Astyanax mexicanus: one gene and its partners. The protein of the gene in region 3 purifies or fractionates together with the protein of the main gene of each other region. This does not show direct contact. Links are inferred from orthologs where the notes say so. Each region holds a gene or a part of one and is shown on either strand. Other genes may lie near its edges.

Region 1 (8,004 bases), on a different chromosome or scaffold from region 3:
TTACCTTGATGATGTGGATAAACAGTACAATTTAGAAACAAACAGTAAAAACATGACTGTTCAACCTTTATTCATAAATCCATGTCTACTTTTCTGTCTGAATTTACAGTTATCCAGGTATCCAAATAAAGAGTGTGCATGTTTGCTGCCACCAAGCTGTATCATAGACAGTTGTTTTTATTGTTCATCGTAATGCAGTATAAATGCTATTACATTTTAAAACTTATAAAATTGAATATGCAACAGATTTAGCACTAAATCATAAATATGAAGGATATGGGGCCTCACCCCAGCCGCCTGGGATCCGCCGTCCTCTCTGGAAACATTGAGGCGGTGCTATGCCGGGACTGACTGGCTCTAACCAGTCATACCGGCCAGGTTAGTGGTCTAAGTAATGGGCAGTTTAGTAATATACATTCTTCTGATGATTTATCTTGCCACTTTCCTGTTCATAAGGCCGTGAGTTACAATTATGTGCCTTTTTCTGATACAAGTGCATTTTTACTGTGTAGGATTGAGACTGTGTCCCATGTGTCGCTCGAAATCGAAAAAGTCAGAAAATCTGTTTTAATAATCTTATTAAAATTAAAACAACAGCATCCGTCTCTCAGAGTACCAGCAGCGTCCGTATTAAACTAGGGCTATTAAATATAAGATCGCTAGCACCAAAATCAGTAATTGTTAATGATATTATTACTGATAATCACCTTACTGCACTATGTCTGTGTGCACTATGTCTATGTTTACCCCCCCAGGTTTTAGCTATTTTAGTTACCCACGCAGCTCTGGTCGTGGCGGTGGTGTTGCCACAATTTATAACTCAATGTTAGGTATAACTCAAAACTCAGAATTGGATGCTAAGTCGTTTGAAGTTCTTAGTCTTAAAGTATCAGGCCCATCTCCTGCTTCCAAAACACAGCATTTGTTCCTGCTAATAACACTGTATCGTCCTCTTCAAATTTTATCCGTGAATTTGATGACTTTCTAGCAGCAGTAACTCTTCTTTCTGATAAGGTCGTAATTGTTGGAGACTTTAATATCCACTTTGAAAAGGATCAGGATCCACTAAAATTGCATTTAAATCAGTTTTAGATGCTCTAGGTTTCAAACAAAATGTAATTGGCCCCACTCACCGATGTAGTCATTCATTAGACTTAGTTTTGACACTGGGTATCGAGGCTGAGAATACAGTTACTCTTTCTCAACATGACTCGATATCCGATCATTATTTAATTATGTTTGAAATAGTTTTTAATCAAAATATCCTCCTCCCACCCCGCTATATCAGCAAGCGTAAAATAACAACCTCAATTGCTAGTGATTTTGTAAATAAACCCCCTGACTTAACTATCTCCCTTCCGTCCCATGAACATGATCTCGAGCACATAACAGAAAACTTACAAACTGTGCTCCGCTCTAACCTGGATCATGTAGAGCCAACAAAAATAAACAAATTAGGGATTTTTCCAGCTCGCATGGCAGCATAGTCTCACAGACTACAAAAAAGCCCTAATTAAAACAAAATCCCAGTATATCTCAGCGCTTATTGAGAAAAACAGAGACAACCCTAGATTTCTTTTCACTACTGTGGCTAAACTTACCGGCAGTCAAAAACAAACTAGCTCCGTTACCCCAGCCAACATTAATAGTAATGATTTCATGAAGTTCTTTGATGATAAAATTAATAACATTAGACAAAAAATTCAGTATTACTCCCAAAATGTACCTATAGATATTAATGAATGCTGCTCCAGCTCTGAGGCACACCTAGAGTATTTCAGCCTGGTTACAGAAAAATATTTACTTAGTGTAATTAACTCATCAAAAGCGTGCATATTAGATCCAGTACCCTCACAGATACTTAAACAGGCACTGCCAAAGGTGGGCATTACTAGAAATAGTAAATTCATCTCTTAGCATGGGCTACGTACCCAATTCTCTAAAATTGGCGGTCATTAAGCCCATTATCAAAAAACCAAATCTGGACCCCAGTGAGCTTGCTAATTATAGACCAAATTCTATCTTCCTTTTGTAGCCAAAATCCTAGAAAAAATTGTGAAACAGCTTTACTTAGAGTAACTAATGATTTACTTTCAGCTCTTGATAGGGGCAGTACTGCTATACTTGTACTGCTAGATCTTAGTGATGCTTTTGACACCATAGATCACGCTATTCTGCTTGATAGGTTAGAAAATCTTATAGGAATTAAAGGATCTGCCCTTACCTGGTTCAGATCTTATCTGAGAGATCGATTCCAGTGTGTTTATTTAAATAAAGAATGCTCTTATCAGTCTAGAGTAAAATATGGTGTCCCTCAGGGATCAATACTGTGTCCATTACTCTTTACATGTTACCGCTGGGTAAAAACATCAGTAGGCAGTATACTCTCTCTGGAAGATGCTGAGAAGCTGAAGCATGCATTCATAACCTCGAGGCTGGACTACTGAAACACGCACTGTTGGCTGGAAGTCCACATAAATTACTTCATAAACTCCAGCTAGTTCAGAATGCAGCCGCGAGAGTGCTTACTAGAACCAGAAAGGTTGATCATATTACCTATTCTTTCATCCCTACACTGGCTACCTGTTAAATTTCGTATAGATTATAAAATACTCCTCCTGACGTATAAATCCCTCAATGGTCTGGCCCCGCATTATTTGCAGGAACTTCTTACTCCTTACAATCCGCCGCGTTCACTCCGCTCCCAAGGCGCTGGCCTGTTATTAGTCCCGCGCATTAGAAAAAACTATCCAGGAGGAAGAGCTTTTTTTTATAAAGCTCCCCAACTTTGGAATAGCCTCCCTATTAATATACGGGACTCAGACACACTCTCAATCTTTAAATCTAGACTCAAAACATTTCTATTTGCTCAAGCTTTTGAGTAATGTCTCATTACAATTTTCTTCCTCTTACAGCTTATCCAGCAAATATAAACCCTGTCCTAATCATCTGCTTTCTCTTTCTCTCCCCATGTCCTGAGCTGCTGAGTTTTAAAAACCATTCTAACCCCTTTTTCTTCCCTCCCCTCTCTGTTCTCTCTCTCTATCTCTCTCACATGTGCTGAGATGCCCGGCCGGTCTGCCTGGATGTGTCCGTTTGTGGTTCCAGTTTTCCAGAATCAGCCATGTCCTTCTACTCATCAGAATTATTACACAACCCTTCTAACTCCTGATTTTTTCTCTTTCTTTCCTTTCTGTTTTCTATTTCTTTTAAATGTATGGAGATGCCCTGTTCCTGTTGTTCCCATCCTGGCTCTCCACTGCCCGCTGTGTTCTACTCCGGCTCTGCAGCCCTGCACTGATTAACATTAACACACTCAGTATCTGTTTCTGTATTGGCCATAGCTCTATAATTTGTGCTTATCACATTTTTATATTCATAAATTAGTACCTTTTATTTTAGCTAAAGTTCACATTAATTCTCTGTACTGTTGTTTTGTTCTGTTATTTGTTTGTACTGAGCAGGTCAACCCGAGTAGGATGGGTTCCTCTGACTGAGTCTTGGGCTGTATTCGGAATGGCATACTACTATACTGCATACTGCATACTGCACTAGTATGTACTGCATACTGCACACTGCCCAGTACGTAGTATTCAGTACTGCAACACTTTTGATTGGAGTACCCTACACCAGGGGTGTCCAAACTTTTTGCTGGGGGCCAGAAGGAGAAATATATTTGAAGTCAAGGGCCACACTCTGTAATAAAACAAATAATGAAATATACCACTTTAAATAATACTTTTTTCCTGATTATTTCATTTACACACCATTTTACTTGGCTTACTATCTTTATCTTTGACAGTGTTGTGTAAACTAAGATTTTTCAAATTGATGTTTAATTTCATGATGTCTCCTAATGTTAAACTCCTTAATTACGGCAACTTTTAGACTCATTGGCCTCGTTTTTCTGCGCTAGAAATGCGCACTCTCTCCACTTTTAGACTCTTTGCCCCGTTTTTCTGCGCTAGAAATGCGCACTCTCTCCGCTTTTAGACTCTTTGGCCCGTTTTTCTGCGCTAGAAATGCGCACTCTCTCTAAAATTCTAAAATATATAAAATGTTATATACAGTGCAATTGGCACTGTATCCAAAATATAATTTGTCTTGCAGGAAGCCAGAAGAACGCTTTAAATACCAAATGAAAATGGCTCTTAAAAGGTGTAAAATCAAACCTGGAGATCTGGAAGATATGGCTGCTGATCGCAACACCTGGTGGCAGCTGTGCCTAGTTGGAACCCAAACACTGGAGGAGGAATAGACAGCCAGAAGACAACAAAGAAGACAACAAAGAGTGCTCTGGAGAGACACACCAATGGTTGGCAGCCAAACAAACACTATGCAATAGAATCTGTGGATCCATGTTGGACTGTTCAGAAAACTCACCGCTAGAAGACAGAGATGGACGTCATCCTCGGATTCGATGGACAACCACAAGCAAAGTGTTTGCTTCCACCCAGCTGTCATACACAGTTTCTGAAATGCTATTGAATTCGTGAACATATAAAATATAATATATGAGGGAGTTGTAAGCATTTTGCATAATGTTAATGGGTGTGCAGTTTTCCCCATGATTTAAAGTGAACATTCCCGTTATTTTGATGTGTATAAATCCTAAAGGATATGAAGCTATTGGTGTGTTTTTTTTCTTAAAGCCATTTATTCTTATATGAGAACATTGGCATGTTTAGGCACTGAAGTGATTTGGAGGTAAATGAATGAGTGTTTACAGATGCAGAGGTGGTCTAGAACTACATGCATATTATCTCAGTTTTCGGTATTAACGCTAAAAGGCGTTGCGCACATTTTCCCGAAACAGTAAAATGAATGATGTGCGTCTGTCTCAGTGGTCCTACTGCCCTGATTATGTAAGTATCATCTGGATCAGATGGATCTCACCCTCCGTTTAAAATTTATTAGCGCCGAAAAATGAAACTAACTTTACCGAGATAGCAGATGCTGATGTTATAGCGCCCCCTGGGTGAGAGACTCGCCTCTGGAGAGATTGCGTGGTGTTGGTGTGGACTTTTATTTTGACGTGTTTTAATAACGCGAGACTTTAGCAGGGAGCTGGAGCTCGGGGGAGAAAGGTCTGCGCTGAGAGTCTCCAGTCTTGAGCTGAAGCTTTTCACAAAGAGAGAAAACATGTCTCTGGCCAGGTGAGTCACTCTGGAGCCGGTTAGCTTTGTTACCCTGTTGTTAGCACTGTCGGCGGGTTACTCACAGAACTGTGTCTGTGGGGGTGTTCTGGTTCTCTACTGCAATCCGTTTTTGGCTGAAAGGCCTAAGTTAGTTGTTATTTTATCCGCTAGCTTTAGCCAGTTAGCTACAGGGCTAACTAGCTTAGCAAGCTAACGCTAACGCACTTTCTTCCCCGGTCATGAACCCACGGGTAGATTAAGCTGTAATCAAGGCTGTCGTTTGTTTATTAGCTATAGTTAAAATGTAGATATCAGATTAGAACTGTGTACAGAAACATAACAGTTACTGCACGCTAGGCTAGCTAAAGCTAGTCTTACTGTAGATATCCGTCCAGCCAAAACGGTGTTCAGCGATCTGTCTGTCTCTCTGTCTGTCTGTCTGTCTGTCTGTCTGTCTCTCTCGGGATAAACTGACAAAACACTCAATGTAAGTGTAAAATATATATTACATTACACTTACATTGAGTGTTTTGTCAGTTTATGCCAGTTATACCAGCACACAGTCATGTTTTACCATAAGTGTACTCAGTTGAACATTATTGGACTGTTAATAGATAGATTGGTATTGTATTTTTAATGTAGATATGCTTTGTTTTACAGTTTTTTACCCGCGCCCACTCAGCTGTCCCAGGACCAGCTTGAGTCAGAAGAGAGGACCAGAGCTCAGAGGTCCCAGTCCACATCTCTGATGCTCACTCGAAGAGAACCACCTCCCTATGGTTCTCGAAAAGGATGGGTTCCCCGCAGTATTGAGGTGTGTCTGTGTTTATCTGCTTGTAACATATTAAATTAAATGAGTTCAAATAGTTTGTGATGTAGTACTTTTCATTTTGTACTATAAAAACATATTAAAATTACCATTTATTTTAAAGGATTTTGGAGATGGTGGTGCATTCCCTGAGATCCACGTGGCTCAGTATCCACTGGAGATGGGCAGAAAAAAGAAGACATCCAATGCCCTTGCTGTACAGGTGGATGCTGAGGGCAAAATAAAGTATGATGCAATTGCTCGACAAAGCCAAGGAAAGGATAAGGTACATCTTATGTTAGAACAGTTTAGAATTGTTTATCATATTATAAAATGTATGCTCACACCTTGTGTAATTTCAACAGGTTATATTCAGTAAATACACAGATTTGCTTCCTAAAGAAGTGCTCAATGATGATGCCCCAGAGTTACAGAGACCAGATGAAGAGGCCATTAAAGAGGTGAGATATGTTAGTGGTTGTTTGTAAGCATTTACAGGTTGTCAGTGGATAATAATGCAGTAATAATTGATTATAATGAATTTTGGTTTGGTTTTTGGTTTTAATTAAAAATAATGTTCTTGAATTTTAATTGGGGGATGACTGTAATTTCCTTGTTAGTACTTTTGCTGTAATGTTGTTAAACCTTATTTTTCAGTAAGATTTTAAGGTTTTGAAATTTATTTCTTTAATGAAAATGTAACATATATTCAAATGTATTTCTTTTATTTCAGCTTACAGAGAAGACCAGAGCTGCTTTGGACAAGCAGGTTTCCCAGAAAATTGCTGCAGCAATGCCTGTACGTGCAGCAGATAAACAGGCACCAGCACAGTACATACGGTAATATTCAAACCTCACAAGTATGTTTTACTGTGGTGTCAATTGTGTGGTTCAACCTAGATATTCTGTAACTTATTATTTCTTTGCAACAGGTACACACCTTCTCAGCAGGGAGTAGCATTCAACTCGGGGGCCAAGCAAAGGGTCATCCGTATGGTGGAGATGCAAAAAGATCCAATGGAACCCCCACGTTTTAAGTACGTCACAGGACCCACAGTGGTGAACTATGTTACTGTGTACATTTTAAATGTAAAAAGTTATGGGCTAGTGTATAGTACCAGTAAGTAATTTCTAACTACTTGCTAACTGAATAAAGATCAGGAATAGTATGTAAGGTGTCTTGCATATGTCTGTTTGAATAGAATTAATAAGAAAATTCCTCGTGGACCTCCCTCTCCTCCTGCTCCAGTTATGCACTCTCCCAGTAGAAAGGTGAGTACCATAATTTAATCAGCATCATATTTGCTCATTACATGGGATACATTTTTAAATTTTTATTAATTAACTTTCTTATTGTCTCAGATGACGGTGAAAGAACAACAGGAGTGGAAGATTCCTCCATGCATTTCCAACTGGAAGAACGCAAAGGTTTCAGCAGATTTTTGTTGTCTGCCTTTACAATTATCTACCTTTAACTCTGTTGTCTTTCTGAATGGCAAAATAAATGTTCATTATTGTTTTTCAGGGTTACACAATCCCACTGGATAAACGTCTTGCTGCTGATGGAAGAGGTCTTCAGACAGTTCATATTAATGAGAACTTTGCAAAGTTAGCTGAAGCTCTCTACATTGCAGATAGAAAGGTAATCTATCTATATTTGTCAAAAAAAAATACAGGTGGACAATAAGGACTAAGTGATGAACAATTGTTGTTGATTTTGGGGATTATGACTCACATACTTTCTATACTGTAATAGTTTAATAGGAGGAATGATGCCGTTTCTTTTTTCTTTTCTTTTTTATCAGTACCGTTTTTTGCTCACTTTAAGGCGCACTGTATTATGAGGCACATTAATTAGCGTTTATTTTCTTACACAAGGCACACCAGATTATAAGGTACATTTTAAAAGACACTATAAGGAACTTCTACTTCAGCAGGTCTCGCAGCTGGGTGGTGGTGGGTTGTAGCTAATTAAGTTAAGCTAAGGATACAAAACTTTATAAAAAAAAAAAAAGTAAAGAGCTTTTGTTCATTTACAGTAAGCTTAGTTACTGAGAT
Region 2 (6,880 bases), on a different chromosome or scaffold from region 3:
ATTTAAATCCCACATTTATTTATTTATTTGTTTCTGCTCTCTTTTTGAGTGATAGAGAAAGCACGTGTATTTAGTTATAAAGAAATAAACTCTGACCTGAGCCTCGTCCTCGCCTGTGATCAGGCTGACCTCAGGGGGTTTGGGTAGCATGTAGGCGGTGAGTTGGGTCACCATGTGCACTTGGCGGGGATCCTGCCACGGCGACATTCCTGCCTGGTGCACGAACACCATGGCGTACAGAGTTCCATTCTTACGTGTCTTCTTGGGCAAAGACACATTTACTAACCTTTAGTGGAAAAAAGATAGAAAGAAGAGAATGCCTTAAATTAATCTAACATTTAATATTATTAATAAAATTCACAACTTCATATCCATTCCAAATTTTTTCCAGCATGTATTTAGCAAATACATAGTCAAATCATTTAATTATCTGAAATTGGTCTACAGCAATAAGGCAATAAAAAGAAAATACAAACCACTAAAATAGCCAAGAGTGCCAATGCTACAGAGTAAATTGTCACTGTCCAATAAAAACAAGCATCTCCAAAACAGCATTTTATCAGGAGAGAGATATAACCTTCTTGACTTTCAATTAAAGTCAATGTAAAAAAAAAAATGTAAAAAAAATAAAATTTCAGGTCAATTTCAGGTCATTCCAGAGAACTTCTATTGGTCCATTCATTAAGAATTTTTTACATACTGTAAAAGCGTCAGTTTGCGTGTTTTTAAATTACAGTATGTAATAAATCGAAAAAAATATTTTTTTAGGTACATGTTTTTGACAGCGATGATATACTATAAATAAATCTGCAGTGTAGGTTTGGCAGGGTAGTACACAAAACTGTATTTATTAAATATTTATTAAGGATATTTGTGTATAATCAGCTTATATCACACTTTAATATATGCTACATTCTTCATACTAAAAAACTATTTAGTAGTAGGAACTGGAATAAAGGTAGGACATACCCACAGCCTTTTTGAAATACCATTATTTTTCACACTATGAGGCCACTCTGCTGAAGTACAGCTGAAGTTTCTCCAGAAGTTTCACCAGCACCAAGGCTGGAGCAGTATTAGCATTAGCCGCTAACCTCAAAAGCTCCTTCAATCTATAAATATGAAATATGATCCTCAGAAGTGAGTTGTTTAAGTCTTTAAACTGGAACATCTTGCTCTATATTAGGGATTAGGGGTGTTAAAACCTGTCCACATTGGCTTTGTGTGGCCAATGTATACAACAGAGTAAGTATATCCAATGTATTTGGTGAATCCCCACTACTAACTAAATGACTACAGAACTTTACCTCTCAAATCTGGTGTTCACATCAAAATCCTCCTCTCTGTGGATCAGACTGTGGCCACCTTCAGTGTTGGGTCGTAATGCTGTGTAGATGCTTAGCTGTGGTGAAGATAACAATGAAAAATATATTTTTTTAAAATGACAAGACAGACTTTATACACAGTTGGTTTGAAGAGATAGCCTCAGCAACATCTCAGGGCCTATGGAATTAATGTTTAAGCAATAATACAATAATAGGAGTGGGAGTGCTATAACTTGTAATTACAGCAGTGCTAATATAACATGTTATAGCACTAACCTCAAGCGTATTGTTGAGATTATACTACAGTTTCATTACCACTGTTTATTAAAATATTTCGAGTTAAAGAGGAAGAGAAAATACGATATGTTTGGTTATAAACACTCTGCAAGTAAAAATAGTTCCATTGCTGCTCTGTTTGTAGCTGCGCAGTTTAGCTTGTAAGCGCTGCATCGTTGCTAGGTTAGCTGTATGTGGTGGAGTAATTCATGGAGAGCTTCGGTTAGTTACAGTGCATTACCGGCTGATAACGGCACTCATAGAACACCTACCTCTCAGCCAATCACATTGCAGGGTTGGAACTAACTTCTACCTCTGTAGCACCTTCACAGTTTTGAACTGTGATACAGGCGTGGATGATGTTTCCGTGTACTTTGGTAGGTGGACACTTACAATATGCAGATCAGTCAATCAATAATAGCGCCCCCCTGCTGACACCAATCATCTGCATCTTACCGCTATCAGAGGCACAATGCCGATGCTGCAGCTCAGCCAATCAGCTCCCGCTCCTGCTCTCCCACCCCTAAACCCATACATCACCCAGTGCCCCTCCCAAACTAACTAACCCCTCCCATTTTTTTGTTTAGCATTTGTTCAAATTCGAGCTGAGGGTGGGGTTTAGTGCCACTTTCAAGAACCACTGATCTGAAACCCTAAAAAACTGAATTAGTGAACACAGTTATCTAAAAATTAACACACACACACACACACACACACACACACACACACACACACTGCTCACCTGCAGACGAGGCTTTCCCGCCAGGTAAGGGCTGATGCACTTGTCACTCTTGGGGTTGTCGCAGGGTTTGGTGTAAACTATGCCATACATCACCCAGCAGGTGTGCAGCACGTAGACGATGAAGACCCCCACTATGAGGGTGGTGAAGGAGGTCTTCTGGAACATGCTGCTTTAGCAGTTCCTCAACTAAAAGCTACACACACACACACACACACACTCACACCGCTAACATGCTAACCCGCTCTCAGCACAGCCCGCTCTCATATCTCAGCTCCTCTCCTCCTCCAGGTGAGGCAGGTGAGGCAGGTGAGGCTGTAGATCCTCAGTAATCCAGGTTTCTGAGCTCAGACTCAGTTTTAGGTCAGATTATAGTGTTTCATCATAAGCGAGCTCTGACTCTTCCTTCCGCCACTGAGCTCCTGGGTTGTGGGTTGCCAGATTGGTTGCTTTCAAGCTTAATTAAAAAAAGCGAGTATGGGCAGATTGCAGGTTGCAACAAGGTAAGCAAACCATTCAATTGACTAGTGCTAGAGTTATATTTTTCATATAAAAGCTTTATAGATCCAAAGGACCCAAAAGACCTAGGATAGAATTTCGCCAAACATTGAACGGGACAACAAAATACTTTATTATCACAATCAACATTGTTGTTTAGAAACAATGGAACAGTAACAAAACAAAGTTTGCCTTAACATTTAAAAATTAAAAATATATATATTTTTGAGGTAGAAAAGGAGAAACCACAATACAAAAATAAAATATAATTTTCACCTCAATAGACATCTTTTCTAGTTAATTCTTTCTTTGTTTCTTTTTTTCAAATAGAATAAAACAATACAAAAATAAGGAATTTTCTTCGCTACTGTACTTTTTTCGTCGCTAGACAGTCAGTGCATGCAGAAAAGAAAAAAAAGATTGGGTATCGATCTTTTTACATGAGCATTGCTCAATACCAATACCAGCGTTGGTATCGATAGTATCAATATTTGGATCAATCCGCCCACCTCTAACTAGGGCCCCAAGCTGGCCTGGGGCCCGCAGAAATGACAGGCTAAGAAAATGTGTGAGCTGTTAACGAAAATACGATCTTAAAATGTTTTAAATAGTTCAATTGCTGCTCTGTTTGTAGCTGTGCTGTTTAGTTTGTAAGCGCTGCATCTTTGGTTGCCTACCTGTATGTAAAAGTAATACATTGAGAGCTTCGGTTACAGTGCATTACTGGCTGATAACAGCACTCATAGAACGCCTCTCAGCCAATCACATTGCAGGGTCGGAACTAACTGTGGTATAATTTACACAAATTCTGCATGTGAAACTGTATCACTTCATCAGCCTTAAGCAATTATACCTCATATTACAATTGTACTATTGTCTTGTGTCTTACGTATGTCTATACTATTAAATTTACAATTAAAAATGCGTATTTAGTTATTAACAGTACATAGTTTAATGCATGTGTTAAAACGTACTAAAAAAAATAAATGGGGTTCAACGAGGGGATTTATGTGTAGATCTGGCAACTGTAACCTGTGACGTAGACCATGAATGGAGTTCTTCCGTGCTGCGCCGGATGTAGTCATCTGTGTTTCAGTAGCGTTTCGATAACGTTCGTTTATTAGCGCTACAATTTTTTCTCTCTCCGGCGGAGGATTTCTTTACCGAATCCACCGCTAACATGAAACTCGTCAGGTAGGCGGATTGTAGACGGTTTATTTTACGGTGTTCAGTTGTTAGATGTTGTAAATTATCCCCTGTTTGATGGATGGGGCTGGATTGTTTGTGGAAGCTAACAGGCTAAATGAGCTGCAGCGGGGCTGAGAGGCGGGAACCGGGAGTTAGTCAATGAATGAATGGGTGGATAAAAAGAGAGTTTATCTCATAAACGGAGCTATAAATGCCGTTTTAAACTAAACTCGCTCTTTGCTGGGGTGTAATTTGTCTAAATTAAGCTAGATAAAGTGAACTAAACTGTTTATACTGTGCCCCAAACTGCTAGCTAGCTAGTTTGCTAACCTAGCTTAGCTAACCTACTCAAACAGGCTGACTTTGGCTGTTTGTTAAATGTAAGTAATATAAATTTTAATACAGGGTTTAGTATCTTAAAATTATTGTATTTGGCTTCTAATCTACGTTACGTGGTTGTTTATAACCTGTGTATCCAGTTTAAGGAGAAGCTGTAGCTGCCCTTTATGTGAATTATCCGTTCCACCTTAAATTGTGCAGTAGTTACATGCTAGTCTTGCAGTTGTTAAGGTGGAATTGATAATTCACATAAAGGGCAACTACACTTACACTGCTGCAGGGCTTACACATCTACTGCACAAAATTTTAAGGTAGAACCGACAATTCCAACATGAAGGCAAGTTTAGCTTTGTAGTGAAGGTGTAGCTGCTTCTTATGTTGTAATTGTCTGTTCCACCTTAAGTCGTGCATGCAGGTCAGGAGCTGTTCGTGTGTTTGGCTATTTGTTAAATGTTAATGTTAAATACAGTTATTAGTAACTTAAAATGAGTGTATTTGGCTTTTAATCTGCGATACGTGGTTGTTTATAGCCTGTGTATTGTTGTGAAGTAGTTACGTGCAAGTCCTGCAGCAGTTAAGGTGGAACGGACGATTCACATAAAGGGCATGTAACGTAGACCTTAACTGCTGCAGGGCTTCTATGTGACTATTGCACAATTTAAGGTGGTACTGATAATTCTAACATAAAGGCAACTGTGTGTGTGTTACAGAGCCACTATATGATTTATGTCTCATTTTAAGTGTGTTATGTTCTTTTCTGCAGGTTTTTGATGAAACTGAGCCATGAAACTGTTACCATTGAGTTGAAGAATGGCACCCAAGTCCATGGCACAATCACAGGTGAGGATGTGGTGTTTTTATATTTTGATGCATTAGTCTTTTAGTAGGCTGAAGTAGAGCTTCACAATACATTTCTTAATTTTGGTTGATGCAATATAATGCTTATCAATACGAATAAAAAGAATAAAACCTTAAAACTGTGCCTTTAAATTTCGTTTCAGTGTATTATTTACACTTTTATTTGTGCCACAATGATGCAGATGATAAAAATGCTTTGTTCTGTGTACTTATGTCAGGAGTGTGCCGTCTTCTCTGCATATAAGCTGGCTTCTACACATCCAGCAGCACACCTGATTCCACTTGTTGAATCAGCTGGTCAGTCTTCAGGCAGTTGATGGCTTAAATTAAAACCTTCAGCCACACTGATCCTTTTTGTGTGAAGACCTTTTAATAAAGAGTCAGATTTTTAAATACCAAAATGTGCAATATTATTATTTTTTAATCAGAGCCTGATTGATCATATGTGCTGTATGGGTATGTTAAAGGCATACTGGCCGATCGAAGCACAGTTGTCATGGTTGCAGATCAAACAAATGCACAAAGATGGCAGCTCAGTTTGTTCAGAGCTGGGCACAGAAGCTTATGACTGACAACACTTTGATTTATTATAAGAATACGTTGATGGAAATATATAGTGGGCAATGAGCACTATATATATATATATATATATTTAATATTGTGTAGGTGTGTTCTCTTTTAAGAATGAGAAGGAAAACAATTAAAGTATGAAAAAAGTATAGAGTAGAACGTGGAAAGGAGCTGTGGAATTTCTGCATCAGTTCAGAGCACAGAAGGCAAAAATTCTGTTAGATTTGGTGTAAAGTTTCTACTATGTTAAATCTCTTTTTTTTTTTTTTATCTGATAATCATACTTTTTCATACTTTATGTAAAAGATTGAATCCTGTTCAGGGACCAAAAAAATGTGTTTGCAAACATTTAATCATGTTTTTTTTTTTTCTATTTTGTGCTCTGGGTTTTATACATTGTATACATTAAATCAAAACTGTGTGTATAATTCAGGTCAAAAATCCACCCTTTTTAGTAAGCTTTTAGTAGTTTTTTTTTTTTTTTGTGAAGCCCTATTTAACCCTTTGTATTGTGGCTATTTAGTGGGGCATCATCATGGCTCTTGTAAAGTCTAAATCAGTTAGCAAAACACAGAACAATGAGCTATATACTGTTTAATGTCCGTATGTAATGGTAAATTTTAAGGCTTTAAAACAGGACCCTATTGAACTGGAGAAGTATCTGTCTGCCTGATAGACAAACTGACTTGTCATTTTCCCTCTTTTTATTCAGGAGTGGATGTCAGTATGAACACCCACCTAAAAGCTGTGAAGATGACCCTGAAAAACAGAGAGCCCACCCAGCTGGAGTCGCTGAGCATCCGCGGAAACAACATCCGCTACTTCATCCTTCCAGATAGTCTTCCTCTTGATACGCTGCTGGTGGACATAGAGCCCAAAGTCAAGTCAAAGAAGAGGGAAGCTGGTAAGTGCAGCACTGTGTGTAAGGGGGAGTTTAGTTATGTACAGTGTAAGAGTGTACTGCTTCTGAAATGGTCAAGAAATATCTTTGTATGAAGATGTTTCCTCTCCCTGCTGAATCATTACCTTATTTAATATTTTTTAAAATATTTTTATAAATAACCATTTTCAATACAAATATTATTTC
Region 3 (7,109 bases):
TTAATCTAGTTTATTCACTTAATCTGGACACATTTACCTTGCTCATTGGGCTGGAAGTCAACTGTCTCCACAACAACAAAGTCATGCCAGTCAATCTGAGCATAAGCCACACGCTCTCTCTCTCTCTCCTCTTCCTCTTTCTTCCTTTCTCGCTCCTGGAACTTGGCCCATTCCACCCTGTACCGCACCTGAAACAACAGAAGCAAATATTATAAATCAGTAAGGCCTTCATGGTGTACTCTATGTGCAAGAACAACAATTTAAACAGAAATAAACAGTGTGTCATTAAAATATCATTATTCTTCAAAAATAACTCCTGAATACCATTTTTTTCTTGCCTCTACACAATATGTATTGTGACATCTTGTTTATCGGAGATTAGATTTTATGGAATGAATAAGTCTTACCTGATCCAGAACCTCCCGTGGATTCTCAGCCTCCCTTTTGAGTTTCTGCAGAAGTCCTTTTGGAGGAATCAAAACCTTTATTTAAAAAAAAAAAACACACACAAACCTCAGAGTGAGCACAAAACACTTCACAATTAAACAATACACAAACAAAATTCATTCATTTAGAACATTTTTAAAAGTTACAACAAAACTTACAACCATTTGAAAACTTAGAGTTATTACAGATGGTCTCATCAATCTACCTTTGTGTACTGTTCCACCAGTTTGGTGAAATAGTTGAAGAGGCTGTGCTGAGGCCTCAAAAAGTCAAACTGGTAGTTCCTCTGTTCTTTCTGCATCAGCTGTGTGAGAAACTGACGGCCATTGCGGGCGACAAACTGAGCTGTCAGCTTCACAACATCTAGGTCAAAGGCTGAGATGGAGGGAGGATCAGCGATGAACTCAAACTCTGGAGGAGGCTCCTTCGGCACAATTGTCTCATGGATCACCTGGGCTTGGACCTGAAGAAATATTGACAAATAGGGAAAATTACAACACTGGAACAAACAAAATTTTACATGTTATAAAGATTTTATAGACAAATAAATACAGGAAAAGTATTGGATACTCTACATTCAGATGCTGGAAACTTACCTTCTGTGGAAGCTGCTGTTGGGATTGCTGCAGGGACTGTTGCTGCATAACCTTAGGCACCGCCGCCGATGGCTCCTGGCCTTTTCCTTCTTTGAACTCATTAACTTTGTGGCGGTAGTAAGCATGGTAAGGATCATTAGGGTTGAGAAAATTAAACTTTGGGTTGTTGATCTCATTCTGCCGAATCCTTGCTTCAAACTCTGGGCCGTTCCTGTGGATGACATGGGTTCAGTAAGGTACAAGCAATGTTGTGAAGAATTTACCTGCATACATATATTACACAAAAAGTGTTTGTTAAGTTAACCTTTCATTATACTTTGTAGTCGCACCTCTGTACAGTGTGGAAAAGGCTCATATCTGTTTAATAACTTGTCCGATTCAGTGGCTTTAAATTTTAAGCATTAAGTAAAGTGAAAACCATGGCACAATACATCAGATAATATGAAACAGACAGTGCACCAGACCTGGCTACGAAGCTCGCAGTCTTGTCAACGATATTTCGGACTTCAGGTGGTGGGTAAATGATTCCCACAATGGGCTTAGTTGCCGGCGTCTCATCTTTCTGTTCATCGCCCTGCAAAACAGAAGAAAAAAAATTATTATTTATATAGAGAATGAGACAGAGAGAGAGAGAGAGAGAGAGAGAGAGAGAGAGAGAGAAAGGTGTTGGAATGGTTTATGTTTATATAAATATCAGAAAAGGACAATTGGAATTGCACATCGATCCACAGCTTGGGAAAAAAATTGTCCTCGTCACCCAGACAAGCCCACAATCGGTCCTGGGTGTGGAATCGTTTATACAGGACGGGTTATGTAACATAGAACACCCTAAAAAAAAGTCATGGTGCACGTATACTGCAGTATAGCCCGTTTTAAAACTTTAAAACACCGAAATGTTAAATGTTTTATCTGTTCAACTGGAAAACCAGGGGAATTGTCATTCAGTTTAATAATTTAAATTCTTGGCTTAACACTATAAATCCAATACTAATCAAAGCATTAACGTTTTATATTCTACATACTCTTGACAGTAGAAACATTTTCAATTCATTTCAATTCAATTCAATTCAAATGTAGAATCCTGCAATAACGTGGTGTACCAATCTTGTTAGTTACTTAACTAAGTTAACGCTACATAAGATGATTAGCTAACGTGTAAAACACAACTCTTTCATTGATTTTGTGACTACTCTAATAGAGAGCTCGAAATACCCATTAAATAGCTAACGTATCCACTGTTTTCGCCGGATTCCGCTTTTTACCTGGTCCCGACTAAACTAGTTCGTTAGCTAGCTAGTTTAGCTAACATAGCTAAAATGCTTAGCTAGAAAAGCTAAACCAACGTCAGCTGTTAGTACATAAACATATATTATGCCTTTAATAGTATTTCTCTGCGCTTGTTTTTAGATTTAAAAGCAAACTGCAGCCAAACACAGAAATAAACAATAATTATTACTTTATTTATTAGCAAATTCAAACTTAACACAATAAAAAATGAGACAGTTGTCTAACGAAGTAAAAGCTAAGTTAGTCTTAAAGTCTATAGCGTTAATTAACCTAGATAGCTAAACAGTTAGACTTAACGTTAGCTGGCAAAGCACTACTTTTCACACACATTAATACCTAACGAAAGAACTATGAAGGAATTAATGGGAAAATCACTATACAAACAGTAAAGTCGCTGTTGGCTCACCTTGTTGTTGGGCTCGGGCTGGCTGATCTGAACAGGCGGCATGGCTGCCTCTTCAAACTGGGCTGGGATTAGAGAAAATCACACTCACACACAACCTTCCGTCCTCAATACCACCCTGTTTACCACACAGATCTCTTTTGTTCAGCTGAAACACTCATTTATTGAGTTTAAAAACAAAAAAACCTTCGATAATTAACGTGCGCACTCCGCCATCAAACCGGGGTAGGCGGCCTGCAGAAAAACACGATCACATCCGGGACACGGACTGCGGGTCACTATGGGAAGTGTAGTTTCTTAGAGTGGCGTTAGGACTACAGGTAGCCACGGTGACGGAGGAAACAGAGGAAGCACACAGTATTGTTGAAAAATAAAGAAGTTTAAAGTGTTTCTGCGCTTTCAGAAAGCTGAATGGGAGGATGACGCATCTGTTAGGACGCCAGGACTGCGTGGAGAGTCTCCGCAGGGACGTTATCGACCTGCAGGCGGCGGTTCTGGACGTGTTTTCTCGAACCGGGCCGGTCCGCGTTCCATCGTGGAAATTCCCCGATAAGGTATCGTGTAATGTGGACCTGGTGCAGCTCCTGCAGGAATATGACTATACTGAGGGAGAGCCTGAGTTCAACCAGCACTCACACATCGTCTTGCTGGAGCTGGTGATTGACAGGTAGGTGGGCGTCTGACAGTAATGCATTTTTAAAATGCAAATCAAATAATGCAATTTATATTAATTAGTGATTTCAATAAAAGAAGATAATCAATAAAAGAAAAACAATAGAAATTTGTGATGAATCACACCTTTTCGTTTTTTACACTATTTATTTGCTAGTGGGTATTTCAATTAAAATAGAGTACACTTAGATTTGTGTTATTGTGCCAATCATTTAAAATACACCTCTGGAAAAAAAAGAGAGACCACTTAAAATTTCCCAATGATGATTTTACCAAATTGAAAATCTCTGGAATATAATCATAAGAAAGATGGATGATCACAAGCAATCAACCCAAGCTGAACACACTAACACATAATCAGAATGTTATAATATGCCATGTTATTGAGCTTTTTAATAAGTGTTAAAAAGTTTTAATAAGTCTAAGAAGTGTGTGTTTACTTGTCTGTTACAGACTGATGCTACTGCTGCAGAGTTTTAACATCTACACAGAGATGATGATGGGAGATCAGAGAGGCCATTCTGGCAAAACTGGGCAAGGGGTGTCCATCGGGCCAGTGGTGAAACGCTATTGGACCAACCTCGTCCGGCTTAGCAGCCAGCAGCAACAAGGGGTAACATATGAAATGTGTATATACTGTTAACATAGTGCATCAGGTCCAACTAACATGCTGACTTCATGTGGTAATACGCAGTTTAATATATTTTTTTTATAATAATTTAAAATAATGTCATTATTAATTACATTAAAATTACTTAATAATAACTAACTCATAAAAAGTTATCAATGAGCTTTTTATGGTTAAAAGGGAATTAAAGGGAATTCAAAGTATAATTATGTAACAACAATGACAGCACTGCAAGTAAGTAACAAATAATCAGATATTGTTAAGTTAAGTTTGCATTTATTAAAGCTTATTACTACAAAGTATTATTGTTTCCAATATTGGGGCAAATCTGATTTTATGATTTAAATGTTTTATGTCAAATATGAGCAGAGTTTCTTTTTCTTTATTTTAGAGAACAACTAGTAAAAACAGCCAGCGTTCTCCATCTGCTCCTCAGCACAGCATCTCACAAACTGACATCACTTCATCCACTGCTAGAAGTGCCCTGAGCACCCCAGCCTCCAAACTACAGAACCAACGCCCAGCCTCCTCCAGCCCCAGCAGGACAGCTCCCCCTGCCCCTGCCTCTGAGTCCCGCAGTGTGAGCGTTCAGACAGTGGAGTCTGCACTGGTGCCGTGTACAGCCTGTGCCCGCGTTCAGTCCAGTCTGAAGGAGAGTGCAGAGGCGTGCTTGTCTCTGTGCCGGGCTCTGGGTGTGAACTCCTTCCTGCAGCACCTGCTGATGGCTGTGGAGGACACGGAGCAGCTGGGGCGTCTCACTGCAAGTGACTTGGCTCAGTGGGCATGTGAGCAGCGTAAAGATATGGGGCGCATTGAACAACACATTACTGAGGTGAGGTGATCAGGTGTTGGTCACAGTAATCACAGTTCAACAGATAAAATGTGTTACTATTACTATTCTTGCTTTTCTGTTATTTTCCATTTATATAACACACCTCTGAAATGTCTTATGATTTTCTAGTTGGAGCAAATAACATGTTTCATTAGCCTTGTAGCTTCAGTGTTAAAACTAAATTAGATAATTTTAGACTTAACTGTTTGTTTATATTCATAATTTTCATTTATCTTAATCGAAACTTAATCGAAAGTTAATACAAATACTAATGTGACCAGTTTGTTTTGAATTGGAGGTGAAAGAAACAGTGGATTCACTTAGAAACAAACTGAAAAAAGCAGAAGAGCAGAGAGGGAAGCTGAGGGCTCAGCTGGAGCAAGAGAAGGAGAGAGCAGAGAGAGAAAGAGAGGAGAGGATGAGCAGGGAAGAGGAGTGGGAGCGCCAGCTGCAGGAGCTGAAGACCAGAGGAGAGGTGATGCAGAGGAAGCTACAGGAGGAGCAAGAGGAGATAAAGAGAGGTCAGAGCACTAAATTTTAAATAAATTACAGTCATTTTTCAATAAAATATCTATCTAGTTATCTATCTATTTTACAACCAAAACCTGCAGGTAATTTTCTTTCTTTTTTTTTAGGAGCAAAAGCTTTAGAAATAAGAGTATCAGAGCTGAGCAGAGAGCTGGAGCTGCAAAGAGAAACACAGCAGTGTCTCCGTAAGCAAACAATGAGTACAACTTACTGTCCACTTTATCAGAAACCCTTTGAAGAGGCTGTAGCACACCTGTGAGCAGTGTGTACAGGCCTTATCAGTTTCTAAATGCAGAGCCACTTGTAACTAGATATTTTTGGGTGGTGGACATTCTCTTAATCTAGCAGTAACACCCCAGCAACACACATTGTATGTATACGTTCTCTACATGTCCAAAAGTATCCAGACACAACAGAACCTCCATAGAAAAGCAGTGGTCAACAGAACCTGGCACTTCATAATAGCTTTAAGCACATAACCCTAAGGTCACGATGCCCAACACTGAGGGAGCTAAAGGAGTATAAATCTCCCCAGAATTTTTCTGGAGTGATAGAGCTCAATCCAATACTTTTAAGAGGCAGTATTAATCATATAACTTCTGTACTTGACTTCACTGACATTATCACTTTTGCAATTGAGTAATGCAATCACATCCTCCTCACAACAATGTTAAAGATCTAATGTAATAGTTTTCCATAAGTGTAGACATTGGTATAACAGATGTCTGGATATTTTTTCGAGCACCAGTTTAATGTGTGAGTATGGTGAAGGACGCTAAAAGGACTTTTAAATGTGTTGTGCGTGTTGTGTGTATGTGGCCATGTGTTAACAACCCGTTTCTCTGTGCAGAGTGTGAGAGGGATTCTCTGGTGGAGGAGGTGCACCGTCTGCATCTGCAGGAAGAGGAGAGGAAGAGAGAGTATCAGGAGAGCAGGAGAGAGTTAGAGACGGAGCTCAGTAACATTCAAACACTGCTGGACAAGGAGAGCGCCAAATACCGCAGTGCACAACGTCAGCATGAGGTGTGTAATTATCAGTAACACAGTTCTTGCCAAAAGAGCTGAACTGTAAGAACTCAAATGCAGTTGTATACACGGTATACATAATATATGTTCAAATGTTTGTGGACACCTGTCAACATTCATGTACTTTAATTTGCATCTATTGCTGACACAAATGTGCACATGCATGCACACAGTTGGTCTAGTCTCTGTCGACAAGTACTGCCAATAGAATAGGACTCTCCGGAGCAGATAAGCATGAAGCTTTTGACACTGTGCCTAGTGCCAGGCATGAGCTAGAAGGTTATAAAGCTTCCAGCTTTGTGCTGTGGAGTACAGAAACCGAGATCTCTGCAACAATGGTGCTCCATCCAGTACTTTTGGGATGAGTTAGGGAAATGAGGTCCATCCTGAACTCATTAACACTCTTGATGCTGAATGCTGTCAAATACTCACAGTAATGCTCCACAAACTAGCGTAAAGCCTTCCCTGGACAGTATGTAATACCTTCATTTTCAGAAGCAATAATGAATGAGTGTATGTTCCAATACTTTGTCCACATACACATATATAAAATGATAATGATAAAATGTGTGCGTATATGTTTGTGTGTGTGATATAGGCAATGCAGGTAAAGCAGCATGCTCTGCTGGAGCGTGTGGATGCGTTAGTGCAGCAGTGTGAGGATCTGCAGACTCGTTTGGAAGAGTGTGA
Region 4 (7,890 bases), on a different chromosome or scaffold from region 3:
GACCTGTTGTTTGCCAAATAGTGGACCCACAGCCACATAACTGGTTATTAATGATTTTTAAGGCATTTACAACCTAATTAATAACCATTAATAAACTAATTGTAAACCATTTAATAACCCTTTATAAAGGTAGTCTTATTTTAAAGTGGTACCGAAAGGCCGTACTATATTTGTTTGTGCACCACTTTTTCCCCCACATATGATAGTACATGATAATATGCAAATTACTGTCTCGACCTACTGTATCAATTAAAATATTAATTTAGTTAAAACTTATGTGTAACTTTCAAATTGTACACCAAAGCAAAAATGTTCAGTCCAGGCTCCCCGAGGGAACACTTCACTTAGAGGCCCTGGGTAGTCAGTTCCACCATTCCCCCCAGCTGTGACACCCCTGGTTCCTGAATGGCCTGCGGATGATGCTTCTCATTGCACGATACAATGAGCCTTTTCTCATCAGCGAACATCTCAGCCTGCTGCGGCTATTAAAATCCAAATAGGAAAATAATCATTTACAGAGACTCATTCTGTCTTTTCCAGTCTGAATAGCTGTCTGATGATTATTGCCATCTCTTGTCTTACGTTTACAGCGCTGTAGAATAATTGTGAAATTGCATCTTGTTTCTTCCTAAGTGCGTTTATTGAAAACCAATTACCATGTTAGCTATGGTCATGGGCTCGCAGATGTACTAACACACACACGGTGTCTCCATCCTGTTGTAATAGTAGAATGGTAATCTGATCTGCACATCTGAAATTAAATATTCCACAGTGCACATCATTACCTGGAGGGTTATGCTAATGGAAGATGCTGCCTCTGAAAAATGAAAGGCAATTTCCTTTCTTCGCAATTCCGCTGAAATTGCTGAATTCAGCCAGACGCAGCAGCACCTCTGAACCTGGAGATGAAGTGCTTCAAATTGTATTCCAGCCAATGGGCTCCTGTTGTCCCCTCGCCCAGCTGCCAGCTGTGATGGTGACCCGGACACTGCCTAAAGCTGAAGCTCCTCTGCAGGTCTGTCCTCCGCCAATTCGCCCTGGCATCTGTGTTCTGGCCCTGGCAGGTGGGCTTTCACAATGCAGATACACCCTCCCTTAGCCATTCTCACTGGTTCACTATAGAACTATCTAGAGATTTAGTAAGATCCTCTGATGCACATTTGAGTTTACTCGTCGGTGAAAAGTTTGTTTAAAGCTGTTTATAAGAGAGAAGATATATGTATTGATGAGTGTGTTAGGGCGTATGTGTGTGGGTGTGTGGGTGTGTGTGTGTACTTAACGATTTTCAAAGCTCTCCTTGAGGAACTCCAGTGTTTACAGTTACCGTCCAGTACCTAGTTTATTTAATCAATCCTTCATTAAAGTAAATCAGAAGAGTTGCTGGTGGGACTGAAACAATCAATACAGTCACTAAAGTTCACACAGAAGTCAGAAACCAAACCTGAGTTTTGGGTTCTTCTAAAGCACACATCAATCTTGTAGACCCTGTTTACACCAGGTCAAATTACTTCCCAGCTAACAGAGAACTTTCTAAGAACCTTTAACAACATTTTAAAATGGTTCAAGGAAGGATAACCTGTAATGTTAAAGAAATAATGTTTCAGGAATGTTCTAAAAACATGTGACATTATAGTGGTTTGCATCATAATGTTATTAGAATGTTATTAGAACCCTTGTCAAGTGACTTCCCAGCTAACAGTAAACTTTCTAAGAACATTTTAAACAACATTTTAAAAAGTTTTCAGGAAGGTTAGCCTGTAATGTTACAGAAACAAAGTTCCAAGAAAGTTCTGAAAACATGTGACATGATAACGGTTTGGGGTTGTATCTGCACTGTATCTTGATCAGATCATTTTTAACCACATGCATTTCCACTTGATAGTCAAATGAATTTTGATTGAATCACATCATATTCTAATTGTTGTTGCCTTTTTGTGGTATGGCCTTATCCAGATATAATCTTGATTACCTTAGTGTCTAAGAACTGAGAATAGTCCACCGACTGCCCTGTAGGCAGGGTGTTTAAAAACTCCAGCAGCACTGCTGTGTATGATTCATTCATAGTATTAAAACACACACTACTCAAACACACCTGCTCTGTGGTTGTCTCTCCTTTGGGATCCTAACCATTGAAAAACAGGGTGAAAAGAGGATCATAAAGTATGTAATGAAACAAATACAAAACTAAAATCTGTAAATAAAGACCTATAAAGTGTAGAAACAAACAGGTAATCATATTTGAATGTTGTGCTTGACAGGTGTATGAAGTATTTTATAAGAAACACTGCTGATATAAACTGTTTTCATACGTTTTTAACTTGGAAACAGTACTCTCCCATGTTTTGTGCAATGTGAAGAACACTAAACAAGATCCACTTTGAGTGTCTTAGTTCAACTAGCAGCTGCTGGATGGTGAACACAGAGGAATACAGAGGCAGTGCACTGCTGGATAAGCTGCCTGAAGCCATCATGTTTTCATACAGCTCTTGGCATTTTCTCAAGCAGCTTTTCCCACAGAAGCAAAGAGGTTTTTCATATGCTGACTCGCTAATAACGTTTAAAACACATTCATATATAGGGGAGTTATTTGTATTTTCATCAGAAATGTTGAATTTAATCGTGTGAACATCTGTGTTCACATTGATAAAGGTTTCAATGTGCATTTTTTGTGCATCTATGAAAGGTGTGTTGAAACTTGTGTTTAGGAGACTGTAAATCAGTTACAGTGGAATATGTTAAAGATGAACAGTGAGAAAATAATAAACAGATCAAAACTGCTGATAATCCCCCATAAGTGGCCATAAGATAAGATAAGATAAGATAAGATAAGATAATCCTTTATTAATCCCACAATGGGGAAATTTACCATGTTACAGCAGTGCAGAGTAAAGGACAGAGAAACAGGTCAGGAAAAGGTAAATACAAATAATGATAAATCTATATATACAAAAAAACTATTGCAGGAAAATATATAAAGATAGTTAAAAAAATTATATATAGTAAAAGAAAAAATATATATACATCTAGTGCATAGAGATATGATTATGGTAGGGTGGACCAGTATTATTGCACAAGAGTAACAGTGAATAAATATCAAATAAATAATAGATAAAAACAAAAGTGAGAAAAAAATATTGCACATTAAATAAATTGCACAAATGGTGATCACAGTACTCGTAGTGAGATGGATATTGCACACGGTAAGCATTACAGCTACACTGAGTAGTATGTAGGTTGTATGAAGTCCTGGGAGCGTGGTGTGTTGTATAGTCTGATGGCGTGTGGAAGGAAGGACCTGCAGTATCTCTCCTTCACACAGCGTGGGTGCAGCAGCCGGGTACTGAAGGAGCTGCTCAGTGCTGTCAGAGAGTGGTGCATGGGATGGGACAGGTTCTTCAGCATGTTGTTAAGCTTAGTCCTCATCCTCCTGTCTCCCACCACCTCCACTGGGTCCAGAGGACACCCCAGGACAGAGCTGGACTTCCTGATGATTCTGTCCAGTCTCTTCTTGTCAGCGGTGGAGATGCTGCTGCCCCAGCAGACCACTCCATAAAAGATGGCTGATGCCACCACGGCATCAAAGAAGGCCTCTGACCTTTCCTGTAGAGAGCAGCCGTGTTGTCAGTCCAGCTTGTTGTTAAGGTGGACACCTAGGTACTTGTAGGACCTCACTATCTCAATATCCGAGCCCTGGATGTTCACAGGCACCGGAGGAGAGTGTTTGGTCCTGCAGAAGTCCACCACCAGCTCTTTGGTTTTTAAATGCCTGATTACAAAAGAAAGCTTTTGCACTTGCATTGCATTCAACAAACCAGTTACTCTAATCAGACTTGCAGTAAGTGTGTTAAAGCAGGGACAGGGTGTCTCCAGGACAGGGACTGATAAACACTGAGTTAGCTCAGCAGCATCAGCAGCTCAAATAGCCAGTCAGAACTGTGGGAGACTCCATTCACTAGGTGGCAGTACAGAGCTCCAGCACGCCATTCACAAACTTACAAACTTATAGGAACTAGACAGAAACAGGGTTGCCATGTTGAGAAAAAAACTTATTGTAAACGTACATTTGTTGTTGAAATCATGCATATTTAATCCTATTTTAATATGTTTAATATTAATGTAATTAGATTTTTGCTATATTCGGGGCTTTAAATTTTGCTGTATTTTTAAATTGTACCAAAAATGTGCATTATGCCAGGAAAAGTGTACATATAGTGCTGTATGATATAACATTAAATGTTGTTTTGCCAAGTTAAAACTTCAGCTACTAAATGTACCCCCTAATACTTAGACAATCACTTTCAGGCTTATCTGAAGTTACACTGAAATACATATTATTTATATTTGTGTAACAATTTCTCTTTTATTTGTGTGTAATTAAATATACCTATTATATATATTATGTAAAATAGTTTATTATATATAGTTTATTATTTATATATATATAAATAGTATATTATATATATATATATATGAGTGAGTTAGCGAGTAAGTTTTGCTCTCATAAAAAAAACCTTCACATTTAATTTGAATTTGAATTGAGGGATATGGAAAAGCCTCTGCACTTAGCCTTATTTAAAGTTATATTATTTATGTAACAATATGTCATTTAATTGAGTGCAAATATATTATTTTTTATGTATTAATAATTTAAAGTAATTAAAAGTGTCACGTTTAACTACACTTTAAATTCCCTCTACTTGTTTAAAAAATATTAGTATAATATTATGAATATAATATGTATTGTATTCTATATATTGTTTAGTTAGTGAGTTAGTGTGAGGTAAGTCTGTCTTTTTTAAATCAAAAACTTCACATTGAATACCCCCTTGGATGGATTATAGGGATTTTAACGTCAATAGCACGAATCTGGCAACCCAGTGAACAGAAGCCATTTGCTGTGGGCCAGCGCTGCGTTAGCGGGGCCGTGTTTTAGCTGCTGCTCTGCTTTCTGAGACGCACCGCAGTTACCCCGGGTCTCCTGGAGCTCCTGTATCGCTGTTAATACAGCGCTGTTTATAGTTCAGGGTGCGGGTGTGAAGAATAAGCTGCCAAGATGCCGCGAATTATGATTAAAGGAGGCGTTTGGAGGAACACTGAGGTGAGCGCTGGGTTAGCAGTGTGGTGCTGACAGGCTAAGCTAACGGAGCTCGGCTATGCTAGGCTAGCAGCCCTGCTTTAGCTGTGAAGTGTGAAGTTAGCGTGTTTAAGTTACTACAGCGTTAGCTGTGTCGTACATATAACTATATTTTATTGGTTTAAACAGTATTAGTCAGTGTTTCTGACACACAAATACACGGGCAACATGTATTCGTTAGCTAGCTAGCTAGTTTACAGATACAGGTAGCATGCTAGCTAGCTAGGTTAGTTAGCTGGACTTGTTAAGTAGCTAACGCTAGCTGTGTGGCAGCAGTGTTTGTGTGGGTGCAGGTTGAGCACCTCTGGACTGAGTTAAAACCTAACGTTATATTAACTGTTGATCTATCTGTTAACATTACATTTTTGCCCTCAGTCCTGAAACTGCACAGCTTGTTTTTTCTGCTCTAACTCGCCTTGTTTAAAGCCAAAATTAGTCCTCGTGTGCAGATAAACACCAAACTACAATACACTGCACTGATCTGGCGTTAAGTAACGTTAGACTAATCAGCAAACTAGTTAGTGTGATCGAGGCCTTTGTAGGTCTTAGTAGCAACACATTCTGACCACCAACTGATTTTTTGTGTATTTATGATAAGCCAGTGCTACTGAAGTGTTTAAATACCACCGGGTTCATCATCTCAGTGTCTTAGGGCTGCATCGATTAGTCGACATAATCGGCAATGTCGATTATTTAAAATCGTCGACTACACATTTCATTGTCGACTAACTTAATTGTTAATTTGCAACAGTACCGCATTACACAAAGTGCAGAGGACATAAGTGCAATGGAAGATGAGTAAATGGTTCACTCAAATAGTTTACACTCAACTTAGTCTCTAAAAGTGACCAAAATCAAATCTTATGTTCAACTTTTTCTATCAATTTTAGAGGTGGAGGACATGGCAGAAATAATCGTTGACTAATCGACTAGTCTGATGATTAAATCATTAGTTGCAGCCCTAGTCTGAGATTTTGAGAAAAGTCCACATACAGTGCTTAAAGACTTCAGCAGCACTGCTGTGACTGATCTGCTCATACCAACACAACACACTAATACCTGACCATTGAAGAGGAAACTGTTTAAAAGGAGGATAATAATAATAATAATGTGTGCAGAGAAACAGAAAGACTATAGTCTCTAAATACAAAACTCCAAAGTGATAAATGAGTGTGGAATCAAACAGGTGATGCTTGCAAAACGTAAATGAAATTTAAACAGTACTCTCCCATTTTTTTACAACTTGAGGGAAAGTAAATAATATCCAATTTTTGAGTGCCTTAGTCTATCTAGCAACTGCTGAATAGTGAACACAGAGGAAATCATAGGGAGCTTCCTGAAGCCATCATGTTCTGATTTATTTGCGAAGCACTGTTGTAAGTCACTCTGGATAAGGGCGTCTGCTAAATGCCTTTAATGTAAATGTAGTTAGTAAGTTATTTAGGTAAGCATCAAGTTTGTCAAACTAGCTGACAAATCTAAACACAATACAGCCACTCCTTAAAAAGATTTATTAGTACTAATTCCAGAAAATGTATCCAGTCATTGTAAAATATTTGTGAACTTAACAATCTGTTCTTTTTCCCCTGTTATCTTTCTGTAGGATGAGATCCTTAAAGCAGCTGTAATGAAATATGGCAAAAATCAATGGTCCCGGATTGCCTCTTTGCTGCATAGAAAGTCAGCTAAACAGTGTAAAGCTAGATGGTAAATCTGTTCTTGTTCTCTCTCAGTGCTGAGTGTTCTGTTTGTTGTTCTGCTGAAGGCTTTTTTTAAATATACTGATTAGTACTAACATTTTAAATTACTTGTGGGTGCTCTTAATGATGCCAAAACCAGTTCTGAACTATTGATGTCTGAGTTCAACACTTCTGAATGTGTCCAGTGACGGTCTGGTCTGGTAGGGCTGGGTATCACCACAGATTTCCAGAATCAAATCGCTTCAATTTAGTTTATTTGATTTAATCCAGTTCAGTATCAATTTGTTTAGGGATATTACCGTTACAATAACAGGTTTTGTTTATATATAAAAAGAGATTTTCAGTGAGCTAGTGTAGCAAATGTAAAAGGAACACTCAACCTTAAAAATATTAGTTAGTACTTGAGCTTCTTAGTACTTGATGTGCAGTAAAAAGACTGTTTGATCACATAAGATCAAAGAATAAGAGTGTTAAAGATTTACACAAAAACACATGGGGGAAATAAAAAGATTTTAAAAGACTGAATTCGAGTTTATGTGAATCAATATCGAGTCATTTAACTGAAGATTGCTTTGACTCGAAAAATATATATTTTTTTTAACCCTCCCCTAATATCTGACATCATAATGTTAAGAGCTTCTGTAAGATGTGAATTGTTTGTCTAACATGTCACACAGATGCTCAGTCTGATTGAGATGTGGGGTAATTAGAGTTCAAGTCAACACCTTGAACATTGAGATGTTCCTTGTACTGTTCTTGGACTGGATTTGCTGGATTTAGCTACTGTTTCCCAGCAGATTACCGCTTGCCTTCTCCAGTGTGCATCATATTGCCATCTTTTTCTCATGTGACTGATGTAAATGTGACTGATGTATATGTGCCTGTCTATCAGGCACAGGATGCAAAAGAAAATGTGATTTATTAGACCAGGCCATTCTTCCATTACTCCAAAGTCAGGTTGCCTTTGACAGTCAACACCATGTTTGTGTGTTCAGACATGTTCCTGCCATGGCCAGCTATAGCTTGTCAACCATTTGTTCTGCCGTAACTCTTGCA

The links.
Region 1: the proteins of sf3a1 (region 3) and snw1 purify together in Homo sapiens (affinity purification with mass spectrometry; 3 studies listed by BioGRID and IntAct, with this or other methods). This does not show direct contact. The link is inferred for Astyanax mexicanus from reciprocal best matches to the Homo sapiens genes SF3A1 and SNW1.
Region 2: the proteins of sf3a1 (region 3) and snrpd1 fractionate together in Homo sapiens (co-fractionation; 4 studies listed by BioGRID and IntAct, with this or other methods). This does not show direct contact. The link is inferred for Astyanax mexicanus from reciprocal best matches to the Homo sapiens genes SF3A1 and SNRPD1.
Region 4: the proteins of sf3a1 (region 3) and cdc5l purify together in Homo sapiens (affinity purification with mass spectrometry; 3 studies listed by BioGRID and IntAct, with this or other methods). This does not show direct contact. The link is inferred for Astyanax mexicanus from reciprocal best matches to the Homo sapiens genes SF3A1 and CDC5L.

What each region holds. Positions count from the first base shown.
Region 1 is NC_064408.1:54,941,397-54,949,400, reverse strand, and holds the start of snw1 (SNW domain-containing protein 1), read left to right. Parts: upstream 1-5,002; 5' UTR 5,003-5,142; coding exon 5,143-5,156; intron 5,157-5,798; coding exon 5,799-5,952; intron 5,953-6,070; coding exon 6,071-6,232; intron 6,233-6,311; coding exon 6,312-6,407; intron 6,408-6,679; coding exon 6,680-6,786; intron 6,787-6,878; coding exon 6,879-6,983; intron 6,984-7,148; coding exon 7,149-7,218; intron 7,219-7,308; coding exon 7,309-7,374; intron 7,375-7,471; coding exon 7,472-7,588; intron 7,589-8,004. UniProt on the Homo sapiens protein: Involved in pre-mRNA splicing as component of the spliceosome. As a component of the minor spliceosome, involved in the splicing of U12-type introns in pre-mRNAs.
Region 2 is NC_064410.1:2,559,630-2,566,509, forward strand, and holds the start of snrpd1 (small nuclear ribonucleoprotein Sm D1), read left to right. Parts: upstream 1-3,872; 5' UTR 3,873-4,018; coding exon 4,019-4,032; intron 4,033-5,128; coding exon 5,129-5,205; intron 5,206-6,505; coding exon 6,506-6,697; intron 6,698-6,880. Other genes in the region: clptm1l (cleft lip and palate transmembrane protein 1-like protein), read right to left, coding at 97-286, 1,308-1,402, 2,344-2,508. UniProt on the Homo sapiens protein: Plays a role in pre-mRNA splicing as a core component of the spliceosomal U1, U2, U4 and U5 small nuclear ribonucleoproteins (snRNPs), the building blocks of the spliceosome.
Region 3 is NC_064419.1:31,893,662-31,900,770, reverse strand, and holds the start of sf3a1 (splicing factor 3A subunit 1), read right to left. Parts: upstream 3,003-7,109; 5' UTR 2,779-3,002; coding exon 2,737-2,778; intron 1,618-2,736; coding exon 1,508-1,617; intron 1,255-1,507; coding exon 1,044-1,254; intron 911-1,043; coding exon 653-910; intron 483-652; coding exon 408-482; intron 189-407; coding exon 38-188; intron 1-37. Other genes in the region: ccdc157 (coiled-coil domain-containing protein 157), read left to right, coding at 3,153-3,400, 3,859-4,018, 4,425-4,865, 5,164-5,386, 5,501-5,578, 6,244-6,416, 7,018-7,109. UniProt on the Homo sapiens protein: Component of the 17S U2 SnRNP complex of the spliceosome, a large ribonucleoprotein complex that removes introns from transcribed pre-mRNAs.
Region 4 is NC_064421.1:16,938,540-16,946,429, forward strand, and holds the start of cdc5l (cell division cycle 5-like protein), read left to right. Parts: upstream 1-4,884; 5' UTR 4,885-5,053; coding exon 5,054-5,098; intron 5,099-6,737; coding exon 6,738-6,841; intron 6,842-7,890.